Lytechinus pictus: one gene and its partner. The main gene of each other region encodes a partner of the protein of the gene in region 2 in a complex. Links are inferred from orthologs where the notes say so. Each region holds a gene or a part of one and is shown on either strand. Other genes may lie near its edges.

Evidence for each region.
Region 1: the proteins of symplekin-like (region 2) and RNA polymerase II subunit A C-terminal domain phosphatase SSU72-like are in contact, whole or in part, in a crystal structure (PDB 4YGX), measured with the Drosophila melanogaster proteins. The link is inferred for Lytechinus pictus from reciprocal best matches to the Drosophila melanogaster genes Sym and Ssu72. Residues at the interface, in NP_649580.1 of Drosophila melanogaster: Glu91, Ala117, Lys121, Gln125, Gly128, Ser129, Glu169, Asn170, Asp171, Gly172, Thr175, Asn176, Lys179, Phe180, Arg198, Ser240, Ser241, Val242, Ile245, Ala246, Ser249, Thr281, Ser283, Gln284, Ser286, Ser287, Lys290, Met294, Gln295; in NP_001285455.1 of Drosophila melanogaster: Glu114, Tyr117, Asp118, Val121, Met122, Glu125, Glu128, Ser129, Val130, Asp131, Asn132, Arg133, Pro134, Asp168, Asp170, Asn171, Asp174, Gln178, Glu181, Val187, Ile188, Leu189, His190, Ser191, Val192, Phe194.

Annotation. Positions count from the first base shown.
Region 1 is NC_087258.1:7,694,763-7,698,689, forward strand, and holds the start of RNA polymerase II subunit A C-terminal domain phosphatase SSU72-like, read right to left. Parts: upstream 2,681-3,927; 5' UTR 2,281-2,680; coding exon 2,210-2,280; intron 166-2,209; coding exon 22-165; intron 1-21.
Region 2 is NC_087251.1:31,991,947-31,995,873, forward strand, and holds the start of symplekin-like, read right to left. Parts: upstream 2,739-3,927; 5' UTR 2,600-2,738; coding exon of another isoform or gene 2,500-2,599; 5' UTR 2,202-2,499; coding exon 2,112-2,201; intron 727-2,111; coding exon 604-726; intron 203-603; coding exon 129-202; intron 1-128. Other genes in the region: glyoxal reductase-like, read left to right, coding at 2,500-2,599. UniProt on the Drosophila melanogaster protein: Component of a protein complex required for cotranscriptional processing of 3'-ends of polyadenylated and histone pre-mRNA. Involved in germline stem cell transit amplification, differentiation and mitosis-to-meiosis transition.

The DNA of each region.
Region 1 (3,927 bases), on a different chromosome or scaffold from region 2:
TATTCTATTCATTAAGGATACAAATCACGGTCCTTGCGTTTCAGATCCTGATACATCTCCTCGTATGTCGTCTTGAAGTCATATATGTTGGGCTTGTCTGCAGCCGGACCAGGCAGCTTCACCGTGGCACCGGTTCCATACGACTTCACATTGAAGCCTTTCTTGCTGCAAAGAAGTAAAAAATAGTTAAAAATGGCATTGGGAAACATACAGAAATGGCATATCACATCAGGACATTTCCTAAAATGTACTATGGTGTGAAAATGTACTGCGGAGAAGGCCTGCAATGACACTCAACACCCTTGTTACAAATACAATGCAAAGTATTTTTTTCTTTTTGAGCAAAAATTTACACAGTAATTCAAAACAAGGATAAATGGAAATATTGTTCTATTATCGACTAATTCTATTACTACATTATTGGTCAAAATTGGAAAAAAAAAGTAGATCTAATTAAGTCTTAAATGAAGAGTACACCCTAACAATAAGTTGGTTTTAATATAAGGAAAATTTGAGGAAAAATGTATCAGTAGGTTTAATGAAAGCCCAATCAAGTAAGAGTGGTTGTGATTTTTTTAATTTTAAAGTCATATGCGAGTAGAAATATAATTTCCTTAACTTCTAATGAAATTTGATGAGTGAAAACATATTTCTTATAGAAGGGGTAATATTGATGTGTCTGATATATATCCGCCGCAAAAATAAAATCACTTTCAAATTTGAAGAAAATAACATTTTAAAATTATTCAATTTTTCAATTCTATTCAATTCAAATTTATTTCCACATCTGATTAAAAACACAAGTACAAATTCATATGCAGATAGATATATACAATAAAAAACATTAAAATGAAACATATTCAGTTCGGAATCATAATGTGGTGGGAATTAACAAAGGCCAAAGGCCTATCAGGGTTATTCCCAAAGGTAATAAAATTTACATAAAATGTTTCTTAAATATATACCAAAATATAACACAAAACAATAGAAAAAGAAATAGACACACATGGAATTCAGAAATATAAGTGTAAATGAAATAACAAGAGACAACCAAACATCCGGAACCTCCCACCAAGGCAATATTTTGTTAACTTTATTCTAGGATTCATTTTCAACTAGGTATTTTTTTAGTTTTCTTTAAAACATATTCAAAGTAGGGCATATTTTGATTTCTTGTGGTAATTTGTTCCAAAACTTAGGTCCTGCATAAGAAATGGTAGTTCTTGAGAAATTATAATTTAGCGTTGGTAGATGGAAAAGATTTGATTATGAATCTATATCACATGAGTGTCATGACATACATGTATGGAGGAGCTGCTTGTCTCAAATCAAAACTTTAACCGAAAACTTCATAAATCCTTCACAGATGTTCATCATACTGTTACCAATATTTTTCTCTAATTTTCCTGCATTAAATATTACGGTTATCATAACTAAAATGAACTTCCCCTTTACGATAAAAGCAAACACACACACAAAAGACAACACATCAACTTACAGTTACACTGATCAGCTTTTTGCTTTTCACTCAAGATCGATCTAGACAAATGACTGTGAATAGGAGAGGGTGACTCTGAGTGCTCTTAGTCTTAGCCCAAGCAGCAGCAAGGCCTGTCACTGTCAGAGACAGTTTTCTCCACTGGCACTGATCAATGGAAATCGCACAATGTATTTTTTTACCCCTATTGATCTAACTTTACTTGATGAGTTCCTTAGATCCTCTATAAGTCTGTAGTTAAAAACTGAATGAGTTTGACTTGTTCTCTTGAATTGAAAGATGAATTGAGTCTTGACCAAGTCTGAATTGATCATTAAAAAATACTATAGGCCTAGGCCTATACTATTACTAAATAGGTTAGGCCTACCCATAAATATGGCTATGCCTATGCTTGCCCTTGCCTTACTATAAAAAGTATAAACTTTATTCAAGTCCATAACCCAGGGAGCTATGCCACTGTAGCTAAGGCTGCAGAGCAAAGGCGCCCGACCTCCCTGGGGCTGAGTTATTAATATTAAATTAAACAAAATTAAGGCCCAACAATACGTTAGCCCGCGTTTAATTAGGCCATAGAGGGCCTAGACCATGGAAACAACGTAGATATGGATGAATGGGACCAGACCTGAGCCTGAGGTAGCACACACACACCGCACAAACAATTGCATATGCTCTAAATGTGATAAGCAACATGAATATAGGGTTGAATTGTACCTCAATATGGCATGGGCTTCCATACTCCTGTTTTGATTACTCGAGCACACAACTGCAATTTTTAGAGGCATTTTTCTGACCAGATTTACCGCTATTTATCTTGACAGATAAAGATCGAGAGAGACTGGGTGAGACCACTGTACTGGGTGATGCAGGTGAGACGAGTTGAGTCAAAAGTTTTTGGACAGATTCATTTTCTAAAAATGATGATTTGCCTGGCCTGGGACCTACTTTGAAGGTGCCAGACATCAGCAATTCATCAGTTGGAAGTGTAAAGTCCAAGTGGACAAATTCATATTAATAAAATACCTTATAGTTTCATCGAATCTAGTTCAAACTTTTTATCATTTTTGTTGTCCTTTCTTTGCCTCTATATCCCCCCTAGAATAAAAATGCATTAGACCAAAGCGAAGACCATAGTTGAGAAGACATCTTACTTCAACGTGCTTTCGTAGAACTTTCGAGCGGAGTGCGCGAATTCGCAGAAAAGAATATGCAATTTAGATTGACATAATAGTGGTCATGTTCTCCCACACTCCCCAACACAGAATAAACTTGATTGAAATTGCAAAGAAATTAAAAGTCAACATATCAACTGTGGTAGACCTACCGCAAATTTTTAGGCATTTGGGGTGTATTAGAAAAAAAAATCACCCTAAAATATAAATCTACAACATATACAGTGACTTAGGTTGCAATATAGGCTTCAAAAAATGGTTCAGGAAAGGTTAATTCTGCATCTCTTTTTTTTTTTTGGATAAACGGCGTATCATACACATTTGCGGAAATGCAGTGACGCAAGTGACTATTCTAAATTTCTACCCATATGCAGGCATATTGCTACATTTTAGGGCAAGTCCAAGAAAAGGTCACCCTAGAAGGCAAAATTTCATCTTTAATTTAAGAAGTTATCTTTGGTGGGGTAAGAAAGCCCAAATGTTGAATTTTAAAATTTCATAAAGAAAAATTTGATAATATACATATGTATGCTAATGTGGGGCACCTAATTTGCATAATTGGTAAAATGGGCGTTACGTATGGGACAATTATAAAAACTCATAGAAAATCAAACCAAAACTTGTAAGATTTAGTCATAGGTGGGACATGGACCCCATAACATCTTATTACTTTTTGGGGAAAAAAGTGGTGTCATCTAATTAAATATGCAAATTAGGTCTTGTCCAAGTAGGAAATTGTTATACCACAAAAAGTTTCAAAAATAAAGTTTACTTTTTAATCAAAACTTAATTAAAAAAATGTTACGTATGGGACAACATGTTACGTATGGGACATTTACACACAATGTCAATGGGGAGATTTGTGTACGAAGTGAATGGAGAAAAACCAATTTCAAGAGTGCTCTAAAAAGTGATTATTTACCTTTTCTTTAGTGTTTAAAGACTAATTTGTTATGAATACTGATTGATGAAAACAATCAAAGTGAAAAAACTGTGAAAATGGAACAATATGAAAAAAATAAAAACAATAGAAATACATAAGAAATTCATGAAACCATGAAAAACAAGAAAAAAAATTGTTGAAATGGCTAATTTTCTTTTCAGTCATATCAAATATGTCTCAATAGAACATTTTAAAAGAAAAAAAACTCTTGATATTTCCATATTTTTTATTATTTGGATTTTTGAAATTATGGGAAAATTATGTACGTTCTCTATGGGGACAAAATGTCCCATACGTAACTGTCCCATACGTAACAT
Region 2 (3,927 bases):
ACTTATTAGAGAGTTTTCTTAAGGGATGATCTGTTCTCCATGTTTTTCTTTATTCAAAGACAAAAACAACAAATTCTTTGGTATTTTGCATTATAAAAGTAGAATGAAATCAAATGTAATTTTCTTACCAGGCACATTCTGCAAAGCTGAGTACAAATTTCCTTACTTCTATGGAATCATCAAACTGAAACTGAAGAACTTCCTGCACAGATAAAAAAAAAATCTTTCATTATTTCAGTTTTAACACACAAAGCGTGTCACTATCATCAAGTTTATGTCTACCACTTCCCCTTCCACCTTCATTTTTGCTCCTACCAAGCAAGTATCACATATTCACATGCTATTTATGAAATCATATATACAGACACATAAGAGTATAATTTATTCACCTTTAAAATGACATCATTGTCATGGCAAACCTCTGTTTAGTTAGCCAAGATATATTTCTGGTGAGATGACAAAGCATATGTTATATAACTTCACATAATATAGAAAAAAACTGAAAAAGCCTCACAAAAATGACTTTTTTTTTAAGGTCAAGTTTGAAACACATGGCCGGATAGAAACATTTGGTAATGTTTGGAAAGAACAAAGGAATCTTACATCAAGAAAATTATCAAGTAGAGAAGGATCCTTGTCAATAATAAGTTGCTGGACTTGGGTCAAGTTGTTGATCTTCTGAGAATCCCTGGGTAAAGTGTGGGTTTGTTGCAGCAAGTCAACAACCTGTAGACAAGGGAGAAAAAACACACAAAAACCCCTTTACTCAACATGTACATAATTAATATGTCCAAACATGACAAATAATGTGTCTGGATAAACATAGCAATTTTAAGAAATATATTTAAAAAAAAAATTATAATTCAAAATTATTTAATCATAGTTGTCAACACTGATGGTTGTCAATATATTTGTGGTGGTGATTAAGAATCTAATGAGCATGACTCAATAAGAGTGGTTTCCCAAATTGAAATAGATCTACATGTAGGATGGGGGTTGTGTATCCGGACACTTTAAATCTTTGAAGTCTTGGGGGGGGGGGCTTTGGATTACAAAAAAATATGAATTTAATAGTTTTAAACTTCTTCAGTTTTGTTCTCAATAATATTGCCTAATCGTTTATAGTTAGGCCTACACTTAAAATTGATGAAACTTTTCTTGTTAACTTTCTCAAATGACTGTTTAAAATCAATTGTCCGAACACACAACCTATCGGGACACACACACACCAACTTGGTATACCAGTACATGAAAGAGCACACAAGGCAATATTTTCACTTTTTTAAATCACAGAAGATATAGGCCTAACTGAATGATCATTTGCTTTACATTATGTTTCTTCAGTTACATGTATGTAGCCCTGCAGCGAGAGTGTAGTCAGCGGATTAAATAAGGGGGTTTGATACCTTCCCTTCTCCTTTTTTTCTCCCATATTTTCTCTTGCTTTTGAATTTTGACAATTAGAACGAATCCCAGAACCCTTTCTGGATACACTGGCTTGAAATATAGTCAACCATGACAGGAGTGTTACCCCTTTTGTTTACACAAATAAGAACAAATTAATAAAACAAATTAGGGCCTAGTCTCACTCTCTATAATTATAAACACATAAAAAAGGGGGGGGAGTAACATCTTTACAAATCCAATGTGACAATGTCACAATTGTTTACGACACCATGATGATGATACTAATAATGTAGTGGAGTGACTAGTGTTAGAACGAGGCATCATACATGAGCAATTCATGAAATTGGATTCTAAAGCCAAAAGGGGGAGGCTAGTCTCGAAAGGCTATGTTGAGCGCTAGACACGGCCCATGCCACAGGATCCCTGGCTTTGAAATAGGCCATTTTATCAACATATTTTTTTTTAAATCTGAGTCTTCTGACATGACTCGTTTTGATTGGCCGAGGATCAACAGCTAGTAGTATGACCATGATGACATAGCCTAGGCCCTACGGCATAGTCTACTTTGTTGGATAAACAACCATCAAGTTCTTTAAGACTTTTGTGCTCTCTTGACTTTAGTTTACGTTCCCAAACTGTCCCAAGTTTTCAAACAAAATTGAGACAATGAGACTGATTGAGAATGAGAGAAAAAAAAGATTCACCCGATCGGATACGGTTTGTCCTTCTCCTCCATCATCATCGTCCATAAAAAATTGTGAAGCTACAGATAGCCTACTACTTCCGGCACTCATTTTTACTTTCACACGTACTGCAACAGTGAGATTACAAGAAGAATTACAGAGCAGACAAAATTCAGTTCATTTCACTCCAAACCCAGTGGCCGCCTGCCCTGCCTAGCCTGCGCATATGTATAATGCATGAAATATGCATGTGATGCATGCACAGTATACAGCCGGTATACCGGTATGGTATCTTTAAGAACATTTTCTTTGTAAAACCAACTCGGGGAAATCGCTCGCTTCGAACCTGAACCTCGTCCTCGGCCTTTGCCCATACCAGGAATCTCTTTTCCAGGAAAAAAAGGATCGAATGCAACTACCAGCTGATTTTTCCAGTCCGATTACATCACAACAGTGCATTGGGTGTAGTTTTGAAGCAACAATAATGACAAAACTTCCTATTTTCGGTCGTAAGTGTGGTATCATCGGCGTTAGTGCACTTTCGCATCAGTCACATCGTCCCCGACATCCGACCCAGCGGCAGCCGCGCCGGAAATCGGGCTGTGCCTGTGGAACACTGCTTGGTTTCGTCGGATGGTACGAAAGTGCATTAGCTATCATAATCTTTGGTTTAATAAGGTTTAGATCTCTGAAAAAAATATATATATTCTTTTTAAGTTGACTATATTTAGATCTATATTTTCATAAATTCTAAATGTCAATGAAATAAAAATAACAGTTAAATTGTGATTCAGATCAGGCCTTTCACTTTCAGGGTGACCAGATGATAGATCCGGGGGGGGGGGGGGGGGGGCACTCAGTATATAATGCATAGTGCCGTGGAGGGGACCCCCATTTTTACACTCAAATTTCTGTTCCAGGGCATGACATTTTTATCTTATCAGAGCTACCAAGTCTCAAACATTGTGCGTGAGACTCGCGCATCGAGGGTCCGTCTCACGCATGGCACCCATTTTTCTCACGCATCGGGACCCGACAGAAAAAGCCTTCGCATGCCGTCGCGTCTACCCCGGCACGTGAGACGAATCGAGAGTGCAGTCAGCGCACAGCTAGTACGTGATACGATGAATCGCGTGCGTGCATCGCATGGTTTTGTAGTATGGATCAATATCGTGATAAAGCCCATATCTCGCGAGTTGCGCGCGTGCCTTTTCGAAACGTACAAGTGTAAGTACTGGCTGCGCGCGTGCAGAGTCGCCGAGTCATGAAAATCTCACTTATAACATTTTTTTAAACTTGGCATCTCTGTCTTATTGAGAAAAAAAACTAAGAAAGTCGCTCCGAAGCGTAGCATTTTCTTCTTATCGAGAGAAAAGAAGAAAGAAATCCGCTCCAAAGCTTCGCATATTTTTTGTTACGCTGTTCCAGTAGCATTGATCCGCCACAATGAGCTGCAATTTTGGTGAAAAGCAGCCGCAGAGCGCTGTCCGACCATCGCCTCTGCGCGATCGCACCCGGCGGGCTGGGCTAGCTGCATACACGTATGCCTGTTCCAAAGGGATGCACACGCAGGCGACCCCAGGGTGACCAATTTTCACAAAATGAAATACGGGACAATCGACAAAGCACGCTGCACGAGCTGAATGACAGAACTAGGCCTTAATTTTTAAAACAGATCAACAGAGAAGGCTACACGATGTTAGACTTGTGAAAAAATGTAAAGAATTGGAAGGGAGGGTGGACGAAAGAATGAAGGAGAGAAAGAAAAGGGATGAATTGAGAAGATAGAAAGAAAACGAAGGGGAAAATGAAGAAAATAAGAAAAAAATAAAAGGAT